4 linked regions of the Saccharomyces cerevisiae S288C genome follow. The gene in region 3 interacts genetically with the main gene of each other region. Each region holds a gene or a part of one and is shown on either strand. Other genes may lie near its edges.

What was found.
Region 1: mutations in BUD32 (region 3) and TRP4 together harm fitness more than expected from each alone (negative genetic interaction), as found in Saccharomyces cerevisiae (3 studies listed by BioGRID).
Region 2: mutations in BUD32 (region 3) and YAP1801 together harm fitness more than expected from each alone (negative genetic interaction), as found in Saccharomyces cerevisiae (3 studies listed by BioGRID).
Region 4: mutations in BUD32 (region 3) and SPA2 together harm fitness more than expected from each alone (negative genetic interaction), as found in Saccharomyces cerevisiae (3 studies listed by BioGRID).

The regions. Positions count from the first base shown.
Region 1 is NC_001136.10:1,178,966-1,186,389, reverse strand, and holds TRP4 (anthranilate phosphoribosyltransferase), read right to left. Parts: upstream 1,644-7,424; coding exon 501-1,643; downstream 1-500. Other genes in the region: SPC110 (Spc110p), read right to left, coding at 1-283; thioredoxin-disulfide reductase TRR1, read right to left, coding at 2,132-3,091; YPQ2 (Ypq2p), read right to left, coding at 3,636-4,589; SBE2 (Sbe2p), read right to left, coding at 5,130-7,424. UniProt on the Saccharomyces cerevisiae protein: Catalyzes the transfer of the phosphoribosyl group of 5-phosphorylribose-1-pyrophosphate (PRPP) to anthranilate to yield N-(5'-phosphoribosyl)-anthranilate (PRA), the second step in tryptophan biosynthesis.
Region 2 is NC_001140.6:418,679-426,479, forward strand, and holds YAP1801 (Yap1801p), read right to left. Parts: upstream 3,609-7,801; coding exon 1,695-3,608; downstream 1-1,694. Other genes in the region: TDA11 (Tda11p), read left to right, coding at 1-385; PEX18 (Pex18p), read right to left, coding at 543-1,394; MPC2 (mitochondrial pyruvate carrier), read left to right, coding at 4,394-4,783; 6-phosphogluconolactonase SOL3, read left to right, coding at 5,046-5,795; bifunctional ATP-dependent DNA helicase/ssDNA endodeoxyribonuclease DNA2, read right to left, coding at 5,932-7,801. UniProt on the Saccharomyces cerevisiae protein: Involved in endocytosis and clathrin cage assembly.
Region 3 is NC_001139.9:1,012,687-1,019,466, forward strand, and holds BUD32 (serine/threonine protein kinase BUD32), read right to left. Parts: upstream 5,074-6,780; coding exon 4,288-5,073; downstream 1-4,287. Other genes in the region: TNA1 (Tna1p), read left to right, coding at 1-1,403; APL6 (AP-3 complex subunit beta), read right to left, coding at 1,635-4,064; SAY1 (steryl deacetylase), read right to left, coding at 5,281-6,555. UniProt on the Saccharomyces cerevisiae protein: Component of the EKC/KEOPS complex that is required for the formation of a threonylcarbamoyl group on adenosine at position 37 (t(6)A37) in tRNAs that read codons beginning with adenine.
Region 4 is NC_001144.5:98,121-108,670, reverse strand, and holds SPA2 (Spa2p), read right to left. Parts: upstream 7,725-10,550; coding exon 3,324-7,724; downstream 1-3,323. Other genes in the region: serine/threonine protein kinase KNS1, read left to right, coding at 772-2,985; HIF1 (Hif1p), read left to right, coding at 8,470-9,627; nucleoporin POM33, read left to right, coding at 9,835-10,550. UniProt on the Saccharomyces cerevisiae protein: Involved in pheromone-induced morphogenesis and efficient mating, perhaps as a cytoskeletal protein.

The sequences.
Region 1 (7,424 bases), on a different chromosome or scaffold from region 3:
CTGACCTTGGACTAGGCGGAATGTTAGCCTTAATTTCTGGAAAGCTGTCATCGAATTGTGAAGCTTCACTAAATAGCCTTGTGGAGTCAATTGTATCATCAATGCTTCTTCTCTGCCTTTTCTTAACAGGGCCTTCGTTCTCATCACCATTATTGGCATTTGGAACCTTAGTAGGCGATACAACTTGTGTTTGCGTGGTGTTTCGCTTGGATTTGATAAATCCTACAGGCGTAAATTCCATGTTCTTCAAGCTCCCATTTGGGAGATGTGACGCTTCGTCCATGAGTGTTTATCAGCCCTTTTTCGCTTTGTGTGGACTGTAACTAACGAAGTTGCTTAAGATATCCGCGCACATTGTATTTGTTCCACATCAACTTTTTGTTTATTTGTTTTCCTTCAAAATGAAGGATTAAAACTTATAACGCGTAATTAGGGTAATGTTCAGCTTAGTACAAATAAAACGTCTCTATCTAGTTTAAGTATAACATATGAAATAATGTCTACAAGGAGCTCACACTATCTATAAAGTGTTCTAAAGAACGTAATGCATTACCAGAATGTATGCTTTCTTCTGCCTTAATGATCCCTTCCTTCCAGTTCTGGTGACCTTGGCTTAAACAATATAACACGGCGGTGTTCATCAAGATGTAGTCATAAATAGGATTATTGTCGCCAAGGTGGTACTTGCCGGACAAGACTTCTTCTTTTAGAATTCTCGCATTCTCTTTAGGGCCGTATGAAGCACACTTCGACAACTCGTGTTCTTCTAAACCAAACATAGAAGGTTCTAATTGGAAGGTCTTCAATTTAAGTTCGGACGATGTCGGATCAATATGCCAGACAGTAGTTTTGCCTATAGGTGATACTTCGTCTAACCCAACATGTCCCCAAACTATAAAAGTTTCGCTTCCTGGATATACCAAAGCGGCTGCCTTGGCATATTCAGGCGCAAGTTCCTTTGAGTAAACGCCCAATATTCTCTTGTTTACGTGGCTAACTGGATGTAGAAGTGGTCCCAGTACGTTGAAAACAGTCGGAATTCCAAGAAATTTGCGTATCTTAGAAACGTGGCCCATTCCATGATGAAAAAAAGGAGCAAGTAGAAACATGAACGTATTATCAGGCCAAAGTTTGGGCACTGTCGATGAATTAACCTTGAACATGTCACAGCCTAAAGTTCCAATTAGGTCACCAGCTCCACTATTGGATGTAGAAGCTTTACCACCGTGCTTACAAATTTTTAGGCCCTGAATTCCGGAGGCAACGATAGCAGCAGACGTGGAAACATTAAAAGTATTCTGTCCGTCACCACCAGTACCTACAATATCTAAGATTACTGGTCCATCTTCCGGGTGTAATTCGTCCTTCTTGGGTAAAGGTAGATCAACAAGGTCGGAATGTCTGAGCACAGCCTTTGCAGCTTCCGCAATGTATTCAGCCTTGTGATCAAGTTTAGTAACTCTCAAGGCCGTGAGAAAACTCGAAACTTTGGTATAGATGGAAAGACTCTCATCGCTATTTGTATCACATTTTTGCAAAAGACTTAATATAACCAGCAACGCATCGTGTAGGTCTGTGCTACTCAATTGCGGCGGAGAAGCCAATAATTTCTTGGTGTAAGATAGCAAAGTCGCCTCGGACATGATAAGGGAATACTAAGTTTTCTTGTGATTATTGCAGTTTAAATTCACTTAGTTGTCAGTAGCTGTAATATCAGATGCTTTATTATAAAGTTTTCCAGAAGAATGAATGCAACAGAGTTTATGTTTACTGAATTGTCTGGTCATGAATCATTTTTTAGAGAGTCAATCTGCGTAGGTTTTTTTTTCCTTTTGGCAAAGACGACAAGAAAAATGCAGGTGGGGAAGCGCAGCAATAATATTAGTCATAACTTAATAGTCGGTGTATAGGCAACCACGCGTTACAAAGTAAGCCGATGGCCTATGTCATGTGTCTAAAAAGTTTAATTCAGACACGCAATATATGTAGATTATGTATTGGCTTTCTCTAATAATGGGGAAAAGAAATAAAATTCATGGTTTGCTTTTTATTAAAGAAAAGGAGAAAGTAACGATTTGTTGGATAAGTATACAAAAATTTGAGTGTATCTATTTTATAATGGAAAATTCATCTATTCTAGGGAAGTTAAGTATTTCTCAGCATCCAAAGCGGCCATACAACCAGAGCCAGCAGAAGTAATAGCTTGTCTGTATTTAGAATCCTGAACATCACCAGCAGCGAAAAATCCTGGAACGGAGGTTAATGAGCTGCCTGGGACAGTTTTAATGTAGCCCGCTTCATCAGTGTCGACTTGGCCAGCGACAATCTTTGTTGCTGGAGTGTGGCCAATTGCATAAAATAAACCGCTGACTGGCAAATCGGTTTCTTCATTCTTTTTAGTGTTCTTAATCCTCAAGGCATTCAATAATTTACCATCCCCCTTAGCTTCTAGCGCAACAGTGTTGTAAAGGATTTCAATTTTTTCGTTCTTCTCAGCACGCTTTTGCATAATGGTAGAAGCACGCAAATGGTCTTTTCTGACAAGCATAAACACTTTTGAGCCGTACTTGGTCAAGAACTGAGCTTCTTCACATGCAGAGTCACCACCACCAATGACGGCCAATGGCTTGTTTCTGAAAATGGGGACGGCACCATCACACACGGCACAGGCAGAAATACCTTTTTGCCAGTAGGTTTCCTCGCCCGGCAAATGCATTCTCTTAGCAGAAGCGCCTGTGGCCAAGATTATAGCGTCAGTCGTCACAGGTTCTGCGTCTTCGTTAAATTCGGTCCATAGCTTGAATGGTTTGGAAGACAGATCAACTTTGGAAACTGTTTCCGTGATAATTTCAGTGCCAAACTTCGTGGATTGTTCTCTCATTCTGTCCATCAGTTCGCTACCTGTTAGACCATCTGGGAAACCTGGGAAGTTTTCGATTTCTGTAGTGGTGGTTAGCTGGCCACCGGCAGCAATACCGTTCGCCATCATACCTTCATATAGGATTGGCTTGATTTCTGCCCTGGCCAAATAGATGGCGGCGGTGTGTGCAGCTGGACCTGAACCAATGATAGTAACTTTGTTGTGAACCATTATTGATAATATGATGTTTACTTTCGTACTGTTCGCTATTTGCTGTATAGCACTTGTAGGCAAGTATAACTGAACTACAGAAATTAATCTACAAGCTCTTGAAACCTCGAGCAGTTGGGTCCACTCTTATACGCGTGGGCATTTTTTCCTTTTTCGAGATACTTGCGGGCGATTTTTTTTCTCCATGACTAAGGAGAAGCTAACCCAGCCAAAACCCGCCCCCAAATGGCTAGGCAAAGTGAAAGATTATTAATCCAGAACAGAATGAAACACTTACTGCCGTACTGTATACTGAAGCGTTCACAGTGAATACATAATAACTTTCATTATTAATATTAGTGTGACAAACTATATGTGTTTGTAGCTGTTGCGAATGCAAACAAGACATAGACGGTTTTACGTAAAACTGGCGCTAACTATAGTTGGGTACTTTTACACAGAGTACGAACGTAGTATTCCTATTGGGAAAAAAGGGTCTCGCAAGGACTATCCCAAGAGCAGAGTGCATTGTTTAAATATAAATGGTAGTACTCCGTAGGGAAAACTATGTTTGCGTTTCACCAGACAACAGTGATGTACGTTCTGTCACTAGTTGCGCTGCACTGTCTTCTTCAGGACTGTATAGTTCTCTTTCCAGTTCACGTAGTTGCATATCAGTTGCATAAAGGATATAGTATTGGTAGAAGTATATCAAATCAAACGCAATTGTTCCAGCACTTCCAAATATAAAGGGCAACTCATTCACGATGAATTCCCTCTTGTTCTGATTATCTAAAAATCTACAGCTTGTGAAGATGCTCAAATTATACGTGATATTGCAGAGTAGTGTAGTAGCAAATAGGAAGGGAGATAAGCCGTCTGTAGACTTTCTATTGTAATTCTTGATTAGTTGTGGGATACGTGCGCCTACGTAGAAGGAAGCGCCAATCCAAGATAAAATTGTACCCAGCTGGCTGTTTTTACCATCTCCGGGAGGCCCCACTTGTGATTGGGTGGAGCCTACATTTAGCGGATATGCGCTAGCTGTACTTATAGTATGAGCTATAGCCAAGGCTGCTGTAATGGCAGACCTTCTTCTACTGCTTCTAGGGCTTTCTGCACTGCTACCACCTTGTATCATGTCCTCTTCCTCCCTCAAAAGCTCACCATTTTCAACCAGTTCGGGAAGAAGAGGTTTAGGCTCATGGCCGACAGTCGCCAATTTATTTTCATGCAGCACGCCATAGTAATAATATTGACCACATACAAAAGAATCATTCAATAGAAAATAAATTGCTAAAAGTATCTGAAATAACAATTGCCCTGTTAGCTTTGCCCCTATCAGCGAGGTAATATCCCCACATAACCAAGCCAGCAAAAAATATGGCGATAGCCCATCGACAGATTTATCTCGATAAGTCTCAATTATTTGTGGAAACAATGAAATAACAGAGGTGAAGAAGGATAATGATCCGCACAAATTAGATACAGTAGGCCAGATGCCGTTTGAGCACGACATGAAAAGATTCTTATTTTCACTTTATAATTTTTAGCACCGATAACAACGAACCTTATCGATTGATATCAATAGATACTGGCTTAAGGTAATGAAAAGATTGCTTCTTTATTTGTCTTTGTTGGAGACGAATATTAATGCCTGCAAAAAGTACTTGACGTTTATGTGCACGTTTACGTTTGTTTTTTTTTGATCCCTCCTCAAGCGAAGAGATATACTAAAAGATATACTTAGTGATAACACTGGTACCTATTGTCACTACAAATCACTGAGCGAAATCTTTTTTCTTCGCGAACAATTTCTTCCATGCTGCGAAATTTTGCAGCACGTAAGTGAATGCCGTAGAAGCTAGCAAAAAAAAATGGTGATGAAAAGGTTAATAACAAAACACAATAAGGGCATTAGTTCATTGTTTATTAAAAATATATTATTATATTAATCGAAAGTAATTTCTGTATGTATGCATTTATAAGTTTCAGAGTGAAAATGAACTTAAGAAGAGATAGTCTGGTCACCAAACTTTTAGTACGTGCCACATACACGCTAACGTAATTTTCGGTAGTAGTGCAACCACCACTTTGTGAAAATATTATTGAGGTTTTCCTCTTCGATACTATCCTCCGTATACAGTGGAATACAAAAATGCTTATCATCCAAATCTGATAAATGTTTCAGATTATCATATCCGAAGTGGTAGTTTAACAATACGTTAACTGTTAGTGAAACCAAAATCTTATAATTTACAATAACCTTCTTAGATCTATAGTATTCCCATACTTTGTCTTTGAATATTTCCATTTTTACGGGGTAGTTTGCAAAGTTTTGGCCATTATGAACGATAATTACATCCATTACCCACATAAAAAGTTTATGGTCCATTCTTTGCAATATGTTCCACCATGTATTGCTATTCAAACATCCGCCATTGAATTCATTTTTGAACTCATCTTTTCGTAAAAGATGGGCAACAATTCCTCTGGGATTTAATATTCTTGAATCGTATTTTTCCTTGCAAATTTCACTGAAGCACGTCATCTGTATCAAGTTGACCATTTCCCATGTTTCCTTCAAAGTCCCAAAAGATTGATCAGTTAAAAAATGGTAGAATAGCATCTCATCACCAGTAACCAAACCTTGTTGAGATATAGATTTCAGTTGCAGTAATAGCATCAAGTCAGAAACCACTTGCTTATCTGTTCCATTTTTATAAAAAACCTTTTCCTGTACATCGTGTTCAATAAGCTGTCTTATTTCAAATTCTTTATCTTTGGGAAAATCCATTTTGTTGAGTAGCTGCATTACTTCCTCAAATGATTCAATAAAACATTTTGTTATCAAGCAATTGTCACTTTGTAGAAGTTGACTATATATTTGAAGCCGTACTTTAGATATCAAAGGTGTTTCCCAAATAATTTTCTTTAATTCACTTAATGACGAGTTACGAGTAATGCCTCGGTCCAGTAAATGCTGGAATTTGACCTTATTCTGCTCATTCTTTTTGGCTTTTTCGTCACGTTCTTTATTTTTTTGCAACTCTTCCATTGATGCTAAGTCGATATTTTTGTAGATTTGTTTATCTTGCAATTTCCTCTCTTTGAAATCCTTGGGCGGGAGCCAACTCGGACGGAAATGACTTACGGCCTTTAGTTTGTCCTCTGAAACTAGCATTAGGTCTTCCATTCCCTGACTACTGGCTTCTTTAAATTCCAGTGGTAAACTCTGTACAGATCTTGAACGACCAGAAAGAATACTTTTGGAGATTTTTTCGGAACTATGCAGGTATATTTGGGAGAGATTTTTCATTGTATCCTGGATGTACTGTGAATCAGACACAGGAGATATACCAGGAATGCATGTTGGCGGAAGCTCCTTATAGTCCAGACATGATTCTTTTAAAGTGTTACTTGAATTTGATGTATGTTTTCTAGTACTATGAACCTGATGGAAAGTTTTGTCCACACAGAGAGCCGAAGATGAGTGTTGTTTGCCTTCGCAATTGTTCTCCTGTATTAATATCTCTTCATCCCCCCGCGCTGAATCTAAACTCATTTCTTTTCTATTAAACTTAGATAATGTTAAAAAAGAACTGGTCGATAAAGATGCCATTGGAATGTTCCAAATTAACGAGCCGTCGACATCGCCCTCTTGAAGTTCCAAGTTAACGTCTTGATCTTCATAAAATTTTTCTTTCATTTTTATGGCTTTACGCAAAGATTGGTCATTTTGCTCTTTCCTTAAACGGTAACGTTGAGAAGGAGTAAGTTGGGTTGTTTTATATGGTAATATTACAGAAGTACTATTGGAATGCACATACGGCGTTTTTGTGATCGGCATGAGTTTTGGTTCTTGGATAGTTGCGGTACTCATGCAATGATGTTTAAGAGGAGAGTCATTCTCGCTTATGAATGAAGTTTGTGATGCGGCTATACTGTTGGTTGTATTGCTCGATCCAGGCAGCCCTACTGTCCTGGAGAGTTTAGGAGTTGACACCGAATTTTGACGAGATGGAATGCATGTAGTTATGGTACTCATTGAGCAGATTGTTTTATCAGCGCTACTTGCTGTACGTGTTTTCTGTAGTATTGATCCCGGTCGGCTTTTCTTTAAGGGCGTAATATTGCTTCTATGGTCAGCTTCTCTCATACTTTTGAAGAAGCAGTTATCCTCCATCTTACTGTTTGCTATTTCACCCTCTTCTGAGCTTATATCTGATGTACATAAAGAATCAGATGTCGTATTTGAGTGCGATGAAGAAAATATCTCTGTGCTCGATGTACCTATAGAATCATCTGATATTGGCCTAATGCACTTCGCTGTGGGTACGTGTGGATTATTATT
Region 2 (7,801 bases), on a different chromosome or scaffold from region 3:
GTCGCTTTGGAGCTTTGTTAGCGATGTCAAGGCCGGATTACTCGGTATAGAAGAAGAAAACGATAATGATGTTATTACTGATAACAGATGTGATCCTGTATATAAAAGCGATAGACAGCATGAACAGAAAAAAAGTACACATAAAATTACGAACCGGGGGCAAGCAGAAGATAGTGGCGACGATTCTAGTTTAAACATGAGGAAATTTAAAACGACAACTAAGTTCCAGAAAGACAATGCTGGGAATAATAGTCTCACAGATGAAAGTGGACATCGAACACGAGAAAAAAAAAGTAAAAGAAGTAGTAACAAGCTAAGTTTTATTGGAGAACCCGATAATGATAATTCCTCCGTCAAAAACTCAGTTGAAATGACAGACTTCTAATTCCTTTTTCAAAATGACGTTTATTCTTCACTTGTCACTCTTTTTACGTATAGCTGTGAACGCAGTATGTAATTTAATACTGTTTTCTCTTGAAAGTGGTTAAAAAGTGTTATATATCTGAAATTCATGGTTTAAATTAAAGAAATTTCAAGGCCCGTTAAGCAATTCTGTCTTCAACATCATGGAACTCAAGACCAGCCCAGTTTCCTGAATTCTGAAAACAAAAACCTACGTGTTTTTGAAGGTTTCTTTCTGTACCGTTATCCTTCTTTAAAACTATAGAACCATCACTAATGCTGCCCATCAGCCCCATAAACTTTGAACTGTTTAGTCTTTCTTTTACATCTTTATTGGCACTATTATTATCGCAAAACTCAATTATATCGGAAGCCAAACCTTTCATGGCAGTTTCTTCATCTTCCAGACTCGTACCTGAATTTTCCTCTTCTGTATGGACATCTTCTTCCAAACTACTGGCTTCCAGTTCCGAAAATTCAGCATTAATTAAAGAATCAATGTGGCTGTTGATAGGATGTTCTAAACCTGTTGTCTTGAATATCTGATGGTCAACCACAGGGAAGGAAGCAATGTTAAAGTTTTTCTGTGAATAAAAGCCTAAGGGAAAATCTGTCTGAGATGTCCGTAGCCCGTTGTTTATATTAAGATTCGCGATTTGATTTTCGATGGGCGGTTCAACATTCTTAGGGAAGTTATATCTAAAATCCTTGGCCCAAGAAGTTTCATTGTCATTTAGATTTGGCGCTTCAAATTTGTAACTTTGATCCTCTAAGGTTCTAGGACGAATATTTACGTAGGACCGTGATTGATTCAAATCTTCTGAGTGTTGTAGAAATTTCAGCTCAATTTTATCCTTCAGAATCGGTGGTGAATTCAGTCTGCTCCCGATTTTGTTAAAAGAGAGCGTATTGTCCCTGCCCGTAAAAGGCCCCTTTTCTGTACTACTAATAAATTTATTCACCTCATTCGTTTGGCATCGGTTACTATTCATTGTTTGTATTTTATATCATTTGTCCATTGAAGTTTAGACAAGTATCAAATACCCAGTTTTCGTCTTTTCCCTTATATAGGTCGTCTCGGAAATAACAATATAAACTCCATGGTGCGGCGCTATCGAAATCTTTTGTTGGCGGGAGGAATTGAAGACAGTAAGATGTAAGTATTACATACTATAGGACAAATGCAAAATATGTACAAAATGGCAAAAATTACATAGCTCTTCCTTACAACTATATATAGCTATCCAAAGATGCACTTGAGTACTCCCTTACATACCTGATTATACTAGATATTACATATCAATTAAATTGAGGTTGTTAGCATATTGGTTTCCTAAAACTGGTTGCTGTGTTTGAGACTGTTCCGGTTGTGGTTGCTGTTGTGGATAGAAAGGGAAATTTTGAGGTTGAACTGTCCCAGTTATATTTGTAACAGGGTTGGCTCCTGCAGTTGCAGGCACATAATAACCCTGTTGTGGTTGCTGTTGTTGCTGTTGCTGTTGTTGCTGTTGCTGTTGTTGCTGTTGTTGGAGATGATTCTGAGTGTAGTGAGCCTGAAATTCCATTTTATCAAAACGCTGAGGAATATTCATCGATCCCTGCATGCTAGTAGGGGTTGTCATAACGCTATTGATCGAGCTCAAAGGCATTTTTTGTTGTTGAAATTGTTGTTGATTGTACGTTTGGTTTTGAAAAGGGTTACTTATTATCTGTTGTTGTAGCGGCATATTGGTATTTTGTTCATCAAAGTTTGGTCGTGAAAATGGGTTATTTAAGACATTTTCGTGTGCAGGATTCCCTGTTGCGATCGTCGCGGCGTTGTGCAATGCGAACGGGTTGTTAGAACCAGTTTGTGAATGAGAGACTTGTTGATTAGAAGCGGCAGTTGTATCCTGTGAAACGGAGTATCCTCCAAACCCTGCACCTGTAAATGTGGGTGTTAAATGGTTGTTAATCGAATAGTACCCCGTTTGTTGGGCACTTACGCCAGCATCTTGTACAGGGTTGAAGTTCACTGTGTGTTGGACCGCTGCATATTCAGGAACGTTTAAATTTGCGGGCTCTGTATGAGCGGTTGGTGTATTCATCACCTGTGGCTGAGTTTGAGATACAAATGGGTTATTTGCGATCTGTTGCGTTTGATTAGCCACAGCCATTGGAATGTTAGTATGCATAGAAGAGTCTGTTCCAAACGGGTTGTAAGATTGAGCCGCCGTGACAGTAGTTAGAGCAGGGGAAATCGCTACTTGTTCGTTTTTCAATTGTGCCTCTAGTATCCTTTTTTGTTCCCGGATTTGCTCCAACCTTTCCTGTGCAGTAGATTTGGCTACTACGGCCCCAGCACTTCCTTGAGAACTGTCAACGGGCACAAAAGTGTTGTGCGTCTTATCATCCTCTATCAGATGTTCTTCTAGCGATCTGACCAGTTTGGTAGTGATATGCTTGATGACGGGTATTTTCAAGCCCGCAGTCTTCCCGCTCTTCAAGTACCTGACAACGTGCTCGGTCAAATCAACAAACGTCTTGTACAGGTCTAGAGTTCTCTCTGCATTATGATGAGATAGTTCGAAAAAAGACTCCAGCAGAGTTATGATACCTTCGTTGAGAGCATTATATAGCGCTAGCAGGTCTTGAATAAGCAGCTTGAAACCAAATATGATCAATTCGTTACTCAAATCATATTGTGTATACTTGTTTTTAATCAGGGCTTGTATTTGTACCTCTAGGGACTCCACATGATCTAGTGCTATATTGATAGAGTGTTGCTTGTTTCTGGAGCTTCCGTAATTGCCACTGTTCAGCTTCAGTGTTCGATAGCCGTCTCTCACATAGTCCTTTTTGATTTTACCAAACTCCCTGCATCTCACCTTCAGATAATTATCGTATCTATCAAGTGCCCTCATGTCTCCAGACGCACTGCCATTGGAGCCACGTATGTTTTCAATGTCAAAAAACTCCAGGTTCCTAGAGTAGTACCGCAATGCAACATCTTTGGAACCCTCCCTTATCATCAAATGAACCACCAACAGCGATTTATACACAATAGTCCACGCCGTGTCATTAATTCGGGAATCCAAACCCTTCACGATCTCATAGAAATCCTCTTCATTGCTGGTCCCCAACAGTATCGGATCCAGATACTTCTGTTTGGGCGGGGCTGACTTGATCTTGGTAGCACCTTTTACCAACTTGAAATATGTTGTCATCTCGCCTCAATCGAAATTTATACTCTAGTATCTGCGATATCGAACAGTCCCTTTATATTTACGAGACAGGTTTTGTCCTTCCTCCCCCACCAAAAAGACGCTATAAAATACTAAATATATCTAATATCGCTACTGCTCAATTCACCTAACGAATGATTACCACCAAGCATCAACACCATGTGCATACCATACCGCTAACTAAACTCACCAACGCTGGAAGCCTGAATACCAAGTATCGAACTGAGGCCCCTGTGTTACCAATCCGTAAAAAGTGATGGAACCCGCCGCTCGCTTCCAAGAGTTATCATCATATTCTTCATCATATTCTTCCATACTTAAGGTGGGTAGCGAGGACCCCTCAATTCCCCCACCTCTCTGCCAGGGCGTCATCTTTTTCTACAAAAGCCAGGCTGAGTCACGTCAGTTGCTGACCCTGGGGGCTGCATTGTTTCCTACGAATTACTCATTTGTTTCGTGCGCTTTCCTATTGCGCGCATGACTAGGATGGAAAAAAAAAGAAGAAAAAGAAAAGCGTTGAGTATATAATAAGAAAGAAGAAAAAGTCCGAGAGAAAAGAAGCACAAAGGTTTTTCCTCGAGGAAAACAGTAAAGTTTGATACGCACATCGTTGACATCGCTGACTGCAATAGGAAACTGAAATAGACGGCAAACCATTAGTTCATTCGAAAGAACGTATTGTCGAGAATTATCACTCACTATATCAGAAAATTGACACACGAATTATATAAACGAAGTTATACAGAAAAAGATTAAAGAAAAGAAAAATGTCTACATCATCCGTACGTTTTGCATTTAGGCGGTTCTGGCAAAGTGAGACAGGCCCCAAGACGGTGCATTTCTGGGCTCCTACTTTGAAATGGGGTCTGGTTTTCGCTGGATTCAGCGATATGAAGAGACCGGTGGAAAAAATTTCTGGTGCTCAAAATTTGTCGCTGCTATCTACTGCGCTGATTTGGACTCGTTGGTCCTTTGTCATCAAGCCAAGAAACATCTTGTTGGCTTCTGTCAACTCGTTTCTTTGTCTGACCGCTGGCTATCAATTGGGTAGAATTGCCAACTACAGGATACGGAATGGCGACTCTATATCGCAATTGTGTAGCTATATTCTCAGCGGCGCCGACGAAAGCAAAAAGGAAATTACTACGGGCAGATAAACGCCGAATTTACAACTCGAAACTTTGCTTTGTCAAAGATATGTACGTAAGCATATATATCCGGATTGTATAATATTCATAAAATAGTAAAGTATATTTTCTTTGCGCGGTGTTATAATTTGCTCTTTTGCATTTTTCCGTTTTTTTCTTACCTTTTTATCCCCGACAATGGTAATAGTGGTATATTATATAAAGAGGAAAGGCCTCGAGGATAATAGAAGGCAATGCACCATCAATTGCTTTACCCCTGGTCCGCGACCAAATGGTGACAGTCGGTGTGTTTTCTGAGAGGGCTAGTTTGACCCATCAATTGGGGGAATTCATCGTCAAGAAACAAGATGAGGCGCTGCAAAAGAAGTCAGACTTTAAAGTTTCCGTTAGCGGTGGCTCTTTGATCGATGCTCTGTATGAAAGTTTAGTAGCGGACGAATCACTATCTTCTCGAGTGCAATGGTCTAAATGGCAAATCTACTTCTCTGATGAAAGAATTGTGCCACTGACGGACGCTGACAGCAATTATGGTGCCTTCAAGAGAGCTGTTCTAGATAAATTACCCTCGACTAGTCAGCCAAACGTTTATCCCATGGACGAGTCCTTGATTGGCAGCGATGCTGAATCTAACAACAAAATTGCTGCAGAGTACGAGCGTATCGTACCTCAAGTGCTTGATTTGGTACTGTTGGGCTGTGGTCCTGATGGACACACTTGTTCCTTATTCCCTGGAGAAACACATAGGTACTTGCTGAACGAAACAACCAAAAGAGTTGCTTGGTGCCACGATTCTCCCAAGCCTCCAAGTGACAGAATCACCTTCACTCTGCCTGTGTTGAAAGACGCCAAAGCCCTGTGTTTTGTGGCTGAGGGCAGTTCCAAACAAAATATAATGCATGAGATCTTTGACTTGAAAAACGATCAATTGCCAACCGCATTGGTTAACAAATTATTTGGTGAAAAAACATCCTGGTTCGTTAATGAGGAAGCTTTTGGAAAAGTTCAAACGAAAACTTTTTAGAAAAGACACACATGCGAGCTTTCGAACCTCAGATGCTAATATTACGTGTTATATATACCAAACTTTATAAAATGACATAGATATTTTATGCTGTGATAGCTTTCCTGTTATGGAGAAGCTCTTCTTATTCCCCCTGTCAACTTTCATACTCTTGTAGAATTTCCTTTATGATAGGTTTATCGCTTACGAATTTAGACTTTGATGTGATGGGTTTGGCACCTGTTCTTTTTCCACAACCTTTGCGTGCCTCATCAATAGCGTTTGATCTGTCGGGAAATTTGTATTTGTAGAGTGCATCCTTGCACATTGTATAGACCCAATTACGCTCTTCTAACAGGTTCACGAACGATTTTATTTCAGGAACAGAGCCGATTGTACTTTTTGAACCTATAATGATCAGCTTGGATTTGGCCCTTGTCATGGCAACATTGACTCTTCTTAGCTCTTTCAGCAGCGCTCCTCCATTTAATTGAGAATTTCTTCTAACCATGGAAATAATAATGCACTTTTTGTCACGACCTTGAAACTGATCAGCAGTCAAGATCTCTAGCCCGTCATACACATTTTTGTTGAATATCTTCTTCAGTAATCTTAACTGTGCTCTGTATAACGTCATTACACCAATATCTTCGCATGGTACGCCGCTCAATAACATTCCTTCCACACATTGTAGAGTCAATTCTGCCTCCCCGTGATTCGTAATGTTATCCTTTTCGCTTTGTTCGATAATATCCGGGCAGTTATCGTAATTTAAAAATACCACTTTTCTTGTAGGCTCTAGTATATCCTCAAGCCACTGCTTAGAGTTAGCCGATTCATTCCTATAGCGCGACAAGGCCTCAGGCATTGGTAACTCTAAAGATTGAGCAAAAACTTCGTTATTCCCGCATTTTAATTTATTATCATAAATTAGGAAATTAGACAAAGTTACAATATCGCCGCACATACGGTACTGTAAAGTCAGTTCTGCAACGCTTTCCGGATGCTTTTCACAGAAAGTCTTGAACAGTGACTCTTCTAACCCACCTAATCGAGCTGCGTCATTTTTAACTAATGGCGGTAGCTGGTAATGATCTCCTACCATAATAAACCTATTTCCATACCGCAGAGGTCCCAAAGCGACAGGCATTGAAATTTGACTTGCCTCGTCCAAAATCACATAATCAAAATCCTTTTCATTTAGTGTAAATAGTATATCGTTAATTCCTAAGCAGGTGGTAGCAACAACAGAGGTGCTGTTAATTTTGGACAAATAATCGTTATAACTTTTCACTGACGCGTAATTCGGGACATATTTTTGCGTGTCAGGATGGACCTTATGTTTCATTCCCAATCTCATTATGCTAATGTTGGTGTTCCTCAATTTTATTAAAATATTATCCACTGCTGAATGTGTGTATGATGTCAAAAGCACGCGTTTCCCCTCGGAAACGAGAATTTTAATAATTTCTGCGATAACAGTAGTCTTACCAGTCCCTGGCATTCCCAATATCAATGCATAATCTTCGGCCCTCATTACTTTGTCTATTGCTTCTTTTTGATTCAAGTTCAATGTTGTATCCTTTGAAAGCTTATACGGAATGACGGGATCATCATTTGCATCTCTAAACTTAGGTGCTCTATTATCAACTAAAAGTGATCGCAGTATTTCATTACCTCCATCAGATCTCTTTGTCTTCCGACATAATTTACTCCTTTCGTCAACAATATCCACGCCAGGTGAAACAGCTGGTAAAAACAAGCTTAAAAGATTAAATCGCGCTAAAGACAAACTCTGTTGGATATCATTTTTGTCGATTCTATATGTGACCAAATTTTGGGTAGCTATGAGACTGGATTGTTCTAGCTCTGATTCGACCACACTTTGGATGGTAGTGACTCCTTTTTCCTTATCTAGAAGCCTATTGTTTAATAACTTTCGTTTTACGGAGATACCAATTTTAGCGGGATTTATAAATTGTACACGACCTTGGCACAAGCAAAAATGACCCTCCTCATCACTAATA
Region 3 (6,780 bases):
CGGATGATGACGGCATCCCCTCCCCTTCCCATCCAATGGAAAAGCGTGTCTTGCGCAAAATGGATATATACTTGATTCCTCTTATGGGGATGCTATATTTCCTTTCTAACCTGGATAAATCGAATATTGGTAACGCAGAAGTTGCAGGTCTATCCAAGGATATCCACCTTGTAGGAACGCAATATAACACATGTGTCACAGTTTTTTTCGCGACGTATGTTCTTTTCGACCCCATAGGTACTAACCTTCTGAAAATTATGGGTCCGCCATTAATGATGAGTATCTGTTTGACCTGTTTCGGTGCTATTTCGCTCGGAACTGCTTGGGTTAAGAATTATGCTCAATTGATCGTTGTCAGACTACTACTGGGTGCCTTTGAAGGTATGATTTATCCCGCTATTAACATGTACCTTTCAGTCTGCTATAGAAGAGAACAATATGCTCTGAGGTTCGCTTTTGTCTTCAGTGCAGCCTGTTTGTCTTCATCTTTTGGTGGGCTGATTGCTTATGGTTGTTCCAAAATCAGCGGTTCTCTAAAGGACTGGCAATACATTTACATTGTCGAAGGTTGTATCTCTTTGGGGTTCGTACCATTCTATGCCTTCGGGTTGAGCAAAAATTTGGAGGATTCGTGGTTTTTCAATAAGGAGGAAAAAGAGTACATTTCCGAAAGATACAAGACTATGAACACTTTTGACCCGGACGAAAAATTTGAATGGTTCCAAGTGTGGCAAGCAGTTAAGGATGTCAAGACTTGGGCTAGTGCTGTGGCATTATTCGGTATCGATTTGACTACTTTTGGTCTAACAGTCTTCTTGCCGATCATCATTACCAGTATGGGGTTCACTAATGTCAGAGCTCAATTAATGACCGTGCCCATCTATTTCCTTACAGCAATTGTGTTCTTCATTTGTGCCGTTTGGTCTGATCGTATAAAGTTGAGATCTCCATTCATCCTGGGTGCTTGTCTGACGACTTCGATAGGCATAGCTATCGTCCTTGGTTCTCAAGTTCATGGTGTGAGATATTTTGGCGTTTACATTCTTTGTATGGGTATTTACGTTAATGCTGCCTGTAACTGTTTATGGTTAAGTGGTAACACTGGTAATTACTTCAAGAGAGCCACCGCTTTAGGAATTAATCTATTTTTCGGGTCTGGTTCAGGGTTGGTCTCTGGTCAAATTTTTGTTGCCAAAGACAAGCCAAGATATATCAAAGGGCTGTCGATTAGTCTGGCCTTTCAAGTCTTCTCCATATTTATGACGGTTGTGCAAATTTTCCTATACAAGAGGGAAAACGATAAAAAGAAAGCAATAATAGATCGCTGTAATGAATTGGGAGAGCCTATTCCATACGACGAAAGGTTAAGCGACAAAAACCCTGAGTTTAAGTACATGTATTAGGCTTGACTTTCTTCACCCTCCACTTTTTTTGCCCCTCGTTATGAGTGTGTTTGCAATTTGTAACTTTTCTTTTATATTTGTATGTATTTTTGTACTAAGCAAATTCACATGAAACTTTGTTTACCAACTTCTCTTTTGTTTTCGTCCCAAACACGTATATTACTGGGAAGATATACATGCCTATATCTATATCTATAAATATACATATTTATATAGTATTATCTCCGAGTTCTAAAGCTCCAGATGCGAAGAAGACGTTCCCGAAGAAGACGTTCCCAAAGAAGAGTCACTATACTCATCATCGTCACTGCTCTCTTCCGATTCGTCTTCATCCTCGTCACTGCTTTCTTCCACCACCTTTATAATTTTCCTTGGTTTACTCTTCCTTTCTGGAATGTCGGAAAAAAACTCGTCCAGGCTTTGCAAACGATATTTCTTCCCGTTTTGAGATGTGAAGGTGTTTACGTTACCTTTACCTGAGATGCTATTGCTATCGCCGTCATTGATCCCAGTCAATTTTGCGTTGGAGCTAGATGTGAAAGATCTTGCTGAGTTGTTGGTAATAAAAGACTGCGATGAAAAACTTTTTTTGTATTTGTTATAGTCTTTCAATTCTGCGCCTTCTCTAATATCGTTACCTGTCTCGCCAACCTCAGTAATTTCAGTATTCCAAGGAAGCATTCTAAAAAATTCTTTTATTTCTGGGGTATGTGTTTCCAATCTTGCAGAAACGATAAAATCGTCACTTCTTGCCGTAGGTTTAGGTGCTTGTAATAGTAGTGACACAATTTCATATTTCCCTGAATCAAACAAGGATGAAATCATCCTGGCTCTATCCCTAATATCAAATTCGTCATCATATTTTGCCAAGTAAAGGACCGCATTGTACATTTGAGAGATTCTTGAACCACTAAAATCATAGTATGGGGGATTTTGGTTATTTTCTTCGCTTCCAGTAACTTGCGCTTGCTTAAAATTATCAATGTCATATGACAACAGTTTTGCTGATAACACTAAGATCTGACATCTTGTCTCAGGACCCTCATTTGAAAAATTCTGGATTAGCCTCCTCAAAACGTCCGGACATATCTTAAATTCAATCGAGGCAATTTCACCAAATAACCAAACAATACCTGCACGAGCATTATCAGCCAAACTCGTTTGAACTGTTAATAAATCTGCAAGCTTGAAGATTATGCGAAGATGTTTTGTAGGATTTTTTTGCACCAGCATCCTGATAACATTCACGTATGCATCTAGGACAGAAGCAGAGAGGTTGTGGGATTCCATATGATCAATTAACCACTTCATTACATGTGATTCCCAACTCGTTGACAATTGGCCACATCGAGATAATGACTTAACCGCCATAATAACAACATTTTCTGGGAAATGAGCACTGGCAACATAATATTTCAATTCTTTGAATATTTCTTTAACGTTTGATTCATTTATTAACGTGGACAAAATTTGGATCTTCCAAATTGATGCCACAATAGGATCTTTGGGGAAAACGTAAAATTTCTTGGTGTAGGGTAAAAATAGTGTCTGGTCTAAGATCGATAAGAAGTGAATTGCTTGTAAAAGCATTTCTTTGTTACCTTGGTTTTCTGTCATGGTTACCGTTCTAACCAATGCTTCAATAAATTTAGTATTTTTCATCTGCAATGGTGAAGCTAACTGATATAGCGCATTGCAACACGATAAAATCACTGTAGGGTTGGAACTATAAATTAAGCAATTCAAACTCTGTAGAAATAAATCTAAATCAGGGTCATTTACCACCTCGTAAGATGGGTATTCAATCTCGTTGTATTTATCTGGTAAAGGACAACTCCTTGGGGAACCTTCTGATGATTTATCGACCACAGTTGGTTTTGGTAAATACTGCTTACAGTACTTGATTAGCAGCTCAATTAAATATGATTGTGACCACGAATCTAGTTGCTTAATTATTCTACAATATCTGCGAAAATGTCCATGCAATAGCTCCAAGTGATCCGCATAACATTCTTTGTAAGCTAGGACAGCACAGGATATCACCTTAGGATCTGTATCTGCCATTAATTCTTTCAGAATATCCAACAATTCTTCATGATAGTCATTCTTTCCAGCCCTATATAATTTGATAATGGCCAAGGCGACTTCACCACGAACCATTGCAGATGGATCTGTAACCAATTTCTTGACAGTATGCAAAATTATAGGTGCTAATGATGACATTTTCATGTCAGAAAGGGCACTCAAAGCAAAGCATCTCAGTTCGGAATTCGAATCAGACAATGATTTTTGAAGAGAATTAATAGATAACAGGGTCAGGTTTGGGTCATTTTCTGCAAATCTAAGTAAATACAGGTGAATAAGTCTTTTCACTTTGGTGTCATTAGTGGTGATATTCTTTACAACATCAGCAAAGTATAATTGAACGTCAATAGAGTCATCATCGGAAGCCATTATAGATATTATTCTCTTCATTGCATCTCTAACTTCTCTAGAGTTCCTAGAATTTAACAAGGTGACTAACTGTTGAGGATTGATGTTTTGAGAATAATAAGTATAGGAGGATTCACCCAGCTTAGAGGTGGCTACCGCGGCAGCTTCCCTCGTTATTACTTTGGCCGTATCCAACGCCGATGCAATACGGTGAATTGAATCTACCATTGCTGGTTGTCCACTTTTCGATTGTTTGCTGTCTTTGGTTTACCTTTCTTTTCTTTATATATTTATATATATGGTTCTTCAAAAATGATTTGTCTGAATTTGTCAAAATCTCAATAACTCGGACACGCTTTGATGGTAACATACCTAAAAGTTATGTACGTTAATATAAATTATAGATACATATTATGTGCAGCGATATACAGGCAGTACGCTAGCATTTATATTATCCTAGCATACTTCTCTTACGACCACGCAACCTGACCTCTTCGAATCTTTTGGTAACTTCTTTCAGTTTCTTGGCACCTTTCGCACCTTGTTCACGATAGACCTCTTCGAACCCCTCCATGATCCAAGCATTGTATTTTTCCGCATGCTTCGAATGTGTACTTAAAATAGCTCTCTCTAAGACGTATAAATCGACGCCTTTATCTTCGACCAGGTTTGAAACTGAGCCCAGACCGAAATCAATCAAATGAGGCGTCCATCTCGCACCATCTCGCACGAGAACAATGTTAGAACTTGTCAAATCACCATGACAGTAGTCATTCCAGTGCAACAACCCAATTTGGCGCCCCACTTTCCGTAGTGTAGTTGCTACAAGATCACTATATGGATCTTGGTCATGCATCCAAAGGAAGTTCTTTAGGTTACTAAAACCGTGCCCTCCGGGAAGATCTTCTCCAAGGAACTCTAACCAAATGAATCCATTGTATGGATCACACGCTATCAGTTGAGGGACACATAGCCCTGGAATCAAGTATAATTTGGCCAATAAACGCGACTCATTCAACGTACGATGTTTTGTTAGTGCCTGGTCTATTTGTGGATGTCTATAACGCTTTGGTGGCCTATATTTGATAATATACTTTTGATGAGAATCCTTTGCTCTTGGGAGATATGGGTGAGTAGTCGTTGTGAAAACAATGGCTTCTGCACCTTGAGAAATAGGTGCAATGTCCACATCAGGAGTCAGGTAGGAAGATACTTTATCAATGAATTCTTGCGTCATAATGAGCAAAGCGTATAACCTTTTCCGCTGTCGTATTCATCACTTATTTGATTTCAAGTAAGGTTATCTTTGTCCTTCAAGTTGGTGATGCGCCGGCGATTTTTTCAACCTTGTTGCTGCTAAAATAATGGAAAATCAAAATAAATTTGTGCTGACCCAAATATTTATGTATATAAAAGGGGTTATGTAATTGTCATTATGACAAATTCAGGATTGCATAAACTCAAGAATGCGAGCGATAGATGGTATGTTGGTCCAGCGATCCATATTACGAGAGTAGTTTAATATTGGGCCCGTATGATAACCTTGGTGTTCAACCAGCACATTTTTGGCGGTAAAGTGGTTACATCCCTCGCTAGCGTCACTCATTTTCTTTGCCAAGATCTTGTTTTGAAAGCTCAACAACTCATCACTACCATAAGTAATCATCACAGAGCACTTTTTCAGAATATCTTGCCACATTTTAGTTTCGAAATTCTTTTCAATATTAACAAAAGGGTCGCTGGTAAAATCGACGTTTGGGTTGTTTCCTACAAACATTCGCCCAAACATCGAATGACTCTTCAAACATAGACCATCCCATTCTTGTGTTCCTTGCATATATTCCTTTTCTCCCTCGTGGAAGAAAGTGGCATTGGCCCAGGGACTTATGGCTATGACTTTTTTCGGGTATATTTCTCTGTGACACTTTCTTAAATATAAAACAATGTTCAAAACAGCATTGCCACCAGCAGAATCCCCCATAATCACTACATTTTTGCACCCCATAGTCTTAACAACGTAATCAAAAATGGCCACATTTTGTAAAATTTGCAGAGGGTACTTTTTCGACTGGTCATCGGTAGCTGTAACGGTATAATCTGGTACAAGAATGGCCATTTTAGGAAAGGCATTTCGCATATTATTCAAGAAAGAAAACGACGTAGGCGTCAATTTAAGAGCATAACCACCCCCATGATAGAATACTAAAACTGGATCTGTCGTGGGGTCAAATCCTTCCGGCATAACATATTGATAAAACTTTGTGCTAACTATTTTGGGTGCGTTTAATTGATGGTCTTGGAAAATATTGTTTTCTGGAGATTTCTGATCTTCTATAGGAATGTTGCATTTGACATATGTTGGACTAGAAAATGTAGAAGGATATAAACAAACAAATAAAGGATTGAGCACGTATTGACAGATGCGTTCATCGAGGATCCAAGAACTTTGTCTTAAAAAACTTCTGTTGACATGGTCAAGGCAAAACCTACGTTTGCGTTGAAAAATGATCTTCATACTGTCGAGGATTATAAATACAGGCACCACTGTGAACAATAGAGCGGCAAATTTCAATCCATGGAACAAATGCAAATGGATGGTACTCAATCGAAAGCCCGCATCATTTTGATCTGCATCCTCACTTGATACAGCGCTAATAATTTCATTCTCTTGAAGCCGATAATATTCAACTTTTGAGTCGAGACCAGAGTTGGCTGCCATTCTTCTTTGAAACCTTTTCCTTTAAAATTGATTTGTGCTGTTCTCATTTCAAGCGACGCAGGGTATTTTTGGTTTTCAGTTTCTTTTTCCCTCAATTCTATATAATTATGGCGCTAACACGTTAAACATTTGTTATTATAAAGCAGAAGTTATTTATCAGAAATCAAATCATGAATATTCTCAGCTTAACACTACACAATTACTCAACTAAAAGAAAGGGTATAA
Region 4 (10,550 bases), on a different chromosome or scaffold from region 3:
CACATCGGAATATCGAATAAAAGCTAGACGCTGTTGGTAATATCATACTTTCTACAACAACTGGTAAAGAACTTCTTTTTTTGAAATAGCCGCCGATATGGCGCGAAGTGACCCTGCTCGAGGCTGTGCGGGCCCAGGCCCGTCCGTTTCTTTTTTTTCTAGGGGGCGGCAAACGGGCCAAAGGGGTCAGCGTGATTGGGCGGTTTTCCACAAAGCTTTAGTCTCTCTCCTCACGCCTTGGCTTAGTGAGTGGCCGGAGTTAAAGTTGCGAGGAAACACACAGCGAAGGGAAAAAGCTTTGGCGTGCTTAACGATATGGCTTATGGCCCGGTTGCAATGCTGGTTTAGTTTCCGATTACGATTTTCGATTTGAATCCTGGCTCCACATCTCCCACCCTCTTTTTTTATCTCTAGCATCGTGCGTTGGATTTTATATTATGAAGTTCCTATATTAGAATAAAGTTTAGTATTTACTTCCCAGATCTACCGGATTTACAAAGTATTGTTACCTCACCACCAAGTGAAAGGAAACAGTGCAGTAACTCCTCGTGCTTACGCTAACTAAATAGATATTATATTCACGAAATACTGCGCCAGATAGCAAGCAAACCCAAAAAAAAAAAAGAAAAAGAAAAAGGAAACAAAGTGGGAGACAGAAAAAGAGTGAAAGAAACATAGTATTTACCAAGTCGAAGATTTAGCACAACAAAGACTAATCTACACGCATACTGCTCTTCTTCATTATTGCTTTATCTTCCGCGTACCTTAGTTATGTCACAGAATATTCAAATTGGCACTAGAAAACGTTCAAGAGCAAATATGAATAATTCCACTACTACGGGCCCTGCTAACAATACAAGCTCTAACAAGACCTTTTTGGATAATTTCGAAGAAACGCGCACAAACAAGCTGCTGGACGAGATGTTTGCTCGGCAAAATTCTTTTCTAACAGACAATCTGAGGAACAGTCTAGACCTGAATCAAGCAGACAATCCGCTCCGTCCTCGGCAACACCAACACCAGTTGTTCTTGGACAATGAAAATGCCATAGAACTAGACGAGGAGCCGCGTATCATTAACACCACAATCAATAACAGTAATAATCATAACAGTAGTCGAGTGGACGAGGATGCTGACGATGACATCATTTTTATCAAAGAGCAGCCAATTCAGTTTTCGTCACCTTTGATTCTGCCTAGTAGCAGCAGTATCAATAACAACAATAATATTGTTACTTCAAATAATCCAGGGTGCGGTACCGCAGCTACAAGCAATAGTACGTATATCACGACACCAAAGAAATTCAAGAAGCAAAGAACCATCTCACTGCCTCAGTTGCCTCTATCGAAGCTGAGCTACCAATCGAACTATTTTAATGTTCCTGATCAAACCAACGCTATCGTGCCAAGAGTAACGCAAACTGAAAATGAGCTGTTGCATCTAACGGGGTCGTGTGCAAAGACTCTGGAGGGCAACAAGGCAGTGAATCTCACGATTGCTCACAGCACTTCTCCCTTTTCCAACCCACCAGCACAAATAGCTTCCCTGCCTCAATCCAACCTCAAGAAACAAATTGGTTCTTCACTACGGAAATTTACATCAAACGGCTCTTCAGAAAGCGCATCATCCAATAAATCAAATTTCAAAACGGACAAAGACGGTCACTACGTTTACCAGGAAAACGACATATTTGGCAGTGGCGGCCGCTTTGTTGTGAAGGACCTATTGGGCCAAGGCACGTTTGGTAAAGTACTTAAATGCATCGATAACAAGTATGAACCTAATTACGTGGCTGTAAAAGTGATAAGGGCTGTAGATAGATATAGAGAAGCCGCCAAAACAGAACTAAGAATTCTACAGACTATCCTGAATAATGACCCTCAAGGTCAGTTCCAGTGCCTCTTGCTAAGGGAGTGCTTCGATTACAAAAATCACATTTGTTTGGTGACAGATCTATACGGCAGGTCCATTTACGATTTTATGTGCTCCAACGGCATTGCCAGGTTCCCCGGCTCTCATATTCAGGCCATTGCCAGACAGCTAATCAGATCTGTCTGCTTCTTGCACGATTTGGGCATAATACACACGGATTTGAAACCAGAAAATATCCTGATTTGTGACGAAACCCATATTGCTCAAAAATTGCCTTTGAAAACCGTACAGTCGCTAAGCAAGAGACGCCGTGAAGCCAGTAAGGGGAAGCGCAAAATCTTGAAAAATCCAGAAATCAAAATCATTGATTTCGGTAGCGCAATTTTCCATTACGAATATCATCCTCCTGTAATATCCACTCGTCACTATAGAGCCCCGGAAATTGTCCTTGGCTTGGGCTGGTCGTTCCCCTGCGACATTTGGTCCATCGCGTGTGTCCTAGTAGAACTGGTTATTGGCGAATCTCTTTACCCCATTCATGAAAATCTAGAACATATGGCTATGATGCAACGAATCAATGGAACCCCTTTCCCCACAGACATTATTGATAAGATGTTTTACAAATCTAAACATAAATTGGGCAACTCTCCATCAGACCTAAATTCAACGGTGATAAAGCATTTCGACAGAAAAACTTTAAGCTTACAATGGCCTGAAAAAAATAAACGCGGAGATACCATAACCACCGAAAAGTCAATGAAAAGGGTCTTGCAGTCATGTGATCGCTTAGATATTTACATCTCAAAGGTCTTGAAACAGGATTACGGCGATAGCTTAAGCATCAATTGGAATCTACCGCCGGAGAAAAACTGGTCTTTGATAAATTCGAAATTGGCATGGAAAAGACAAACACATTCCTCTTCTTCCTCAACTACTGATGAACTCGATAAGGAAACTTTCTTGTTTTGGTACTGGTTCATCGATCTACTCAGGAAAATGTTTGAGTTCGACCCAACAAAAAGGATTACCGCAAAGGACGCTCTGGACCATGAATGGTTTAATCTGGGCATACTGGATGATGGTATTGCAACTTATAATAATACCCAAGGATAGTGGGTGTTCTCGTTCTACTTTTCTCTTCTTTTTTTCACATCTTTTACTAGTTCCGTTTTTTTTTTTTTTAACTCTTCTTTTTCATTTTCCGGTTTTTAATAATATTTCTTTAAATTTCTATATTCAATAAAAATTCTTCCTACATATATATCTTCATATTCAAACATTTATAGTATTTTTACTAATTTTTTGTTGTTTTAATATACTATAATAATATTATTATTACTGCTACTACTATTATTATTATTATTATAATTATTATTATTATATGTCATACATAATACATTCTATTGATTGTCTTTGTCTTCCTTTTCTTTCTCCTCTAGATACTACTAACTTTACTTCAACTTCGAATTCAAATAATTTATTTCGTCCTTCAAACTTGCCTCTTCTACAGTTTTTACCAGCTCCTTTGTACATTTGGCAACATCAAACGCAATCCCTGCCAACCGCTGTTTGAAGTTTTTGTCAGCATAATCTTGATCGCTCTTTTCCTTCGCTAGTATTCCATCGCCAGTTAATTGGCACAAAATTGTCATTCTACGCGAACAGTCTCTTAGACTTTGCACCACCCAATCACCGTGTTTCTTCAAATTGGCATTTCTGCTTTGCTCCATTGATATGCTAGTAGCGTCCACCATTTGACCTATGACTTGGTTGATTGCATTCGATTCTCCCCTCAAATTACCCTTCGTCACCTGTGGTTTCTTGATCGATGTCAAAAGCGATTGAATCGTGGATATGACGTCCATTGTTTGATGTTCTAAATACAATAGTAACTCTGATAGTGTATTATCCGGATTTTCAATGTCAAATGTATCCACATCAAAATCACTGTCTTCTTCCTCTTCATCGTCATCTTCACTTTCCTCTTCCTCACTTCTGTTTTGTTCTTGTTCTTGTTCTTCATGTTTCATGGGAACAAATTGATAGCTAGAATCATCATCATCACTATAATGTTTCTCGTCATGTGCCGTAGTTTCTCCAGTATTTTTTATCTTTATGTGGTTGTTAATGCCGCCGTTCGACTCTGAGTTCTCGTATTGAACCGGTTTACTGTTTAAAAATGGTGAGTGGCTCGTCTTTTTTACCTGTGAATTTTCAGTTGGATTTACGAAAGCATGCTTTCTTTCAGTGATGTGTATTTGGGCATCAGCTCTTTTTCCATTAACATTATTTGATTCATCAATATCTTCCTCGGAAGTATGCACTTCTGCTTCGCTTTTTGCTTTACGATCAACAGGTATTTTATGATAATCAATTTTTCCAGTTTTCGTATATGCACCAGTGATCTGGATATTGTGGTTCACTCTATCAAAATCTTCGTCCTCCTCCTCTCGTTTGATCGTACGGTTTAAGTCGGCGTCTCTCCAAGAAGTATTGGCATCCTTGTTTGTTGGTTCCACAGAAGTGATAGTCTCAGTATGTGGTTTATTAGTTTCTCGTAACTCGACATTTTTCTTTATCGGTGCTAGAGGTGAATTTTTTGCCAATTCAGGAGAAACAATTTGGCTATTCGGTTCTGGGAGCCCGCTCTTTTTCAGTGTAGCTGAAGATGGAGTCTTTTCGACTGATTTTGGTGATCCAGTTCTATTAACAGCCTTTGGAAAGACAATCTTTTTTAGTACTTTTGGGGGGTCAACATTCTCTATCGGCTCTGAGGAGGCAATGTCTCTCCTTATTTCTTGAGGTTCAGACACAGTATTTCCCTTTAAATTTGGGGATTCCATTTTCACTGTCATGTTTGAGGGGATAGTATTGCCTACTGCCTCCAAGGACTCGCTTTCCCTTACCATTCTTGGAGATTCAATTTTGTCAACTTCTCCTGATGACGCCAACTTCCTAGCCGCTTCCGGGGACTTGATTGATTCTTGAGCTGTAATTTTTCCTGTCATACCCAAAGACTTAATCTGCTCTTTCATGCCCGGAGATTCGACCCTACTATCTGCTTCTGGGCCTACAACTTTTCCTGCCATATTCAAAGATTTAATCTGTCCTGTCATGCCCGGAGATTCGACCCTACTATCTGATTCTGGGCCTACAGCCTTTCCTGTCATACCCAAAGACTTGACCTTCTGCGTCATATCCGGAGATTCGACATTACCAAGTGGTTCTTGAAAATTTTTCTTCCTGACTGATTCTACAGATGCGCCCTTCTCTGGCATTTCTGAAGGCTCAACATCCTCTACTAATCTCTTAGGCAGCGAACTACTTGGCATTTCTGAAGACATTTCAGATGACGTGATTTCCTTTATCGATTCAGGAGATTCAATCTTCACGGACTCCGGTGACTCATGTAAATCAAGTTCCACTATATTTGCAGGTAGTTTGCTGTCATTATTTTTTTCAATTTTTGAACCTTCTCTCTTCATTGTTTGTTTCAATGCCATATAGGTAAAATCATCATCATCGTCTGCATCGTCATTTTCGTTACCATCAGAGCTTGAATCATCTGTGGACACATCATTCATTGAAGTGATAAATTTATTGGATAGTTTTGGTTTTGAATCCATTTCTTCTTTTGCTATAGGATTTTCCTTTGGTGATGATTTCTTTTCGGAACTTTGCTCAAATTGTTTCAGTTTATCAGCAATGCTAGAAGTTGGTTTAACAGAGATTTCATTTGTTATGTCACTCCTTTTATTATCCTCTTCTGTATTCTCGATTTTAATATTGGGAACTTGATTCTCTGACGGTGGAATAACAGTACCGATTTTGGCTTGTGGAGGTAGTGTTAGTTTAGGAATTTCGGAAATATTGCTACTTGCAGAATTGGAGGCCGATGTTACTGCCTTTATGGGCGAGACATATTTATCATTATCCTCTTTATGGGAGCTATTCTTAGCAATTGATGAATCAATCATTAAACTAAATAGCCCCGTTCCTGAAGGTTTTCTTGAGGTTGTTGGAACTCCATTAGACGATGACGGTCTTATGATCGGACTGTTAATTGCCTTTTGTGTAATTTTCAATGGCTTGACTGGAGATTCTTCTTCCTCCACATCATTCAAGAAAGATGCTGGTTTTCTTGGGTTTATAAACCCCTTCTTCATATTTATTCCAGAAGTCGAGGGGAAAGTTGGCGTCATTGGGGTGGTAGCAGTTGGTGAAGAATATTCTAATACCTGTCGGTTACCTTCATTAGAGGTGGTGCTCTCACCATTTGAATCGGATTTTATTTTCGCTGAATCAATTAGATTACACATGGCAAAACAAACCTCTGAAACAGCAGCTTGCACAGTTATTTTCGGAATTAATACGGGACCGTAAACAGAGAAATATCTTATCGATGTGATCGCATGCGATAATGATGCCTTCAGTAAAATGACCTGATCTTTGTACTGTAATAGGTCGGCCGATAGTAATAGCTGGGAGATTAGGTTCGATAACTGGGATAATATTTGAAATAACTCTTCGCCAATTTGATGGGAAATTGCCGTGGAGTCGCCTATGGGTACTGCGGAAAGCCTAGTAGTAAATTGAATTATCAAGTTGTTAGCGTTTAAGATGTATTGAGCTGGAATGAGCCCATCGGCAGAAGAGTACTTGCTAATAAAACCGTCAGTGATTTTCAAATCATTATGGTTGTCATTCTTTTTTTGATGCAGTTCGAATTCTGAAATTTTCTGCTTCAAATTTTCATTCTCAATTGATAATTCACCGATTTGAGAGTTTAATGACAGCAATTCTTTCTGAAAACTTTCATCAATGGTGTAGTTAATCTTTAAGTTCTTTTCCTTTTCTTTTTCCTCCTTCTCTTCCTTCTTCTCCTTTTCCTTCTCGCTGGTTAAAGATGCTAACTTAGCATTCAAATCTTCAATTTGCAAATGTAAGTCGCTGTTTAAATCAGTCAGTTCTTTAACCTTGTCTTCCATCTCTGAGTTAGGGTTATTGTTCTCAGCCCGTTGTACTTCAGGGCTCTTCAACTGTTCGGGACCCTTTTCGTTATCGATATCTTTATCTACCTTGATAATTGGAGAATCATTAACGTCCCAGTAATTTTTATGCGTCGTTGTTGGAGTCCTTGCCATTGATGTGATATCACGAGCGAGCACTTGGGAGTCAGGCAGATCAGAATCTGTAACTATGGGGTTTAGAGCAGGTTTAGCCTCTTTCTTTTCATCCATGCTTGTTTGTTTTCCCTCCGGTTCATTTGGCTTCTCCTTTACTTGCTCCTCTTCTTCTTCCTCAGAAGACCAATCGATAGATGCCATCTTAGGAATGACCAAAGAAGGTTGTACGGAGACGTTTGGAGCTACTTGAGTCACAGAGGAAGAATTTGTGGATGTTCTTGCAGTATCATCGCTGTCTTTGCTGACCTCTTGTTTCATCGGCTGCGGTAATGGGGGCCGTGGAGCATCCAAATCCTTGTCGAACCCTCTTCTCTTGATCTCAAAAAGGATATCGTCCAACAAATCATTAAATCGAGTTTGTGATAGATTGGCCAGTTTCTGTCTAGCCTGGTTCCTTTTCATGTGGAAATTTGCCTTCGGCAAAAGGTAATCTGGTTGGTTAGCATCTTCACCGATTCTCCTCTGCAGCTCATCGGACACGTCTGTACTCAGCTCGTAAAATTGCGAAGAAGATAGCTTCAACAGCTTGGCTCTGGCCTTTTGAGCTCGTGTCGAATTTGACCTGTCACGATTTTCGCCAGTCACCTCGAAAAAAGTCTTCAGTGAGACGTAGTAATGGAAGATATCTCTATGATGTGCGAGAGAAACCTCGCTTGACGTACCCATGTTTACTCTTTCTTTTCTTTTGTTTATTCTGTTTCGGTGGCTCGTATTGCGTTATTCCTCACGCCTTGATTTGAATCTTCGTCTCACGTGGTTTCTCAGCGTCTTTCACACGCTTCTGACCAAATTTATCTTACCGAACTATACGTAGCTATGTGTTGCTTTCTGCTGAAAGAACTCGATAATAGAATATTATTCTCAAAATACTTCAAAGTTTATTCTCATCGTTTCCAAAAACGCGTCACGCATCACCCGGCGCAGTATTTCTTCTTCCTTTTCCGCCATAAAAAGTCATAATAATAAGCCTATCTCAAGATTCTTATACTACTTTTAACAGTTTTATTGATAACTTACTTACGTTAGACCATCTTTTTTGTGCAAACCTTTGGTAAAAAAAAAGAACTGCGCTACCTTCTCCTAGTTTATGTATGGTACGGCAACTCATAGTTAGTTTTCTGTGCCCGTTTTAAGCACGACTTGAACTTACGTGATTATATGTATACAGTGCATGTTTTTATATAGAAAAATAAAAAAATGGGGTTACGTAGTCGAAGGATATAGCAGTGTCTAAAAACTTGCAAGAGCACTCGTAGCTCCCCGGCAGTGGAATCTTACCACTTCTCAGAGAATGTCGGAACGATATGTTACTGCACTGAAGTTTCGCGTTTTTTCCAATTTTGTATTATTTCATTCTACTCAATTTTGAGGTAACATCGGCGATGAGGTCTCCTTCTAGAAGTAACAGAATATGAAACTAAGGGCAGAAGACGTGTTGGCAAACGGAACTAGCAGACATAAAGTTCAAATTGATATGGAAAGACAGGTTCAAATTGCAAAAGATTTACTCGCACAGAAAAAGTTCTTAGAAGCTGCTAAACGCTGCCAACAAACTTTGGACTCTCTCCCAAAAGATGGTTTGTTGCCTGATCCTGAACTGTTTACTATATTCGCACAAGCTGTATACAACATGGAAGTACAGAATTCTGGTAATCTGTTTGGGGACGCTCTTCTGGCAGGTGACGATGGATCTGGGTCTGAGTCTGAGTCTGAGCCTGAGTCTGATGTGAGCAATGGAGAAGAGGGGAACGAGAACGGTCAAACAGAAATTCCTAATTCTAGGATGTTCCAATTCGACCAAGAAGAGGAAGACTTGACTGGTGATGTCGACAGTGGTGATAGTGAGGACAGTGGCGAAGGTAGCGAAGAAGAGGAAGAAAACGTGGAGAAAGAGGAAGAACGCTTAGCTTTGCACGAATTGGCTAACTTCAGTCCAGCGAATGAACATGACGATGAAATTGAAGACGTATCGCAACTTCGCAAGTCTGGTTTCCACATTTACTTTGAAAATGATCTGTATGAGAATGCTTTGGACCTACTGGCGCAGGCCTTGATGCTGTTGGGCCGCCCTACAGCAGATGGCCAATCTCTAACCGAGAACAGCAGATTGCGCATCGGTGATGTGTATATCCTGATGGGTGACATCGAAAGGGAGGCGGAGATGTTCAGTAGAGCCATTCATCATTACTTGAAGGCGCTTGGCTATTACAAGACCTTGAAACCCGCAGAACAAGTAACTGAGAAGGTGATACAAGCAGAATTTTTGGTGTGTGATGCTTTAAGGTGGGTTGATCAGGTGCCGGCTAAGGACAAACTAAAAAGATTCAAGCATGCCAAGGCTCTGCTTGAAAAACACATGACTACAAGACCCAAGGACAGCGAGTTACAGCAGGCAAGGCTCGCACAGATTCAAGACGATATTGATGAGGTGCAAGAAAATCAGCAGCACGGCTCCAAGAGGCCTCTTTCGCAGCCCACGACCTCCATCGGCTTCCCCGCCCTCGAAAAGCCCCTTGGTGACTTCAATGATCTCTCTCAACTGGTCAAGAAGAAGCCTAGAAGGCATTGATAGTTTTGTGTAAAATGTAGCAACCTACATACGTAATGTATATTTCTCCTTCTTTGGTACGGCGAAAGGGCCCCATTTTAAAAGGGTGAAAAAATATTTAAAGAGCAAGCAGACCATCCCTGAAATGACATACTTACTACATCTAAAAAAAGTCATTTTTCTCTATTCATAAGGAGCAAGAAACACTAGCCAAGAATAGTCAGTATAATGTCATCAAGACCCGCTAATAACCAAGGCCCCCCAAACCTCCCTGCCAGAGATAAGTCGCTCGTGCAAAGGTTCATGGCAGTAGCCAAGAGCTTGCAGTTTGCATGGTTTACCGGTCATTCCGTCGTATTGATCAGCTCCATTCTTTACCTGCTCAAGATGTCAGAATTTTATTACAGATCGGCATATCTCGGTGTCATCGAATCTTTCGGTATCATCATTTACCAGCAATTTTTCACCCGCAATGAACCATTGCAGACTCAAGATGCCGCTGCCACTAAGGCTTCCATAAAATCACGCGTTGCTGGACTCCTAAAGAGTGAAGACGTGCTTTATTTGGTTTTGGCCAACTTCTGGTTGTTCACTCCAAGATTTTCATTCAGCTTAATCCCATTTTTCGCGTTTGCTGTATTCCATGTTTTAATCTACGTTGAAAAAGTTCTCTTACCAAAAGTCTTCCACCTTTCCAGTAAAGATTCAAGTAAGATCCTCAGCTTCATCGACAAGTTTGTTGTTCAGTACAATGACTTGTGCATGCACTGGGTCGGTACTGCTGAGCTGCTTATTTTCATTTTGGTCCTTTTCAGAGCCATTCTGTGCTTCCAAAGGTCTTGGATCATACTTGTTGTGTACGCCATCTTTATTAAGTTAAGATACGAAAACTCCAAGTACATGAAAGCCGCCTTTGCTCAATGGAGAGTTAGAATGGACGGGAT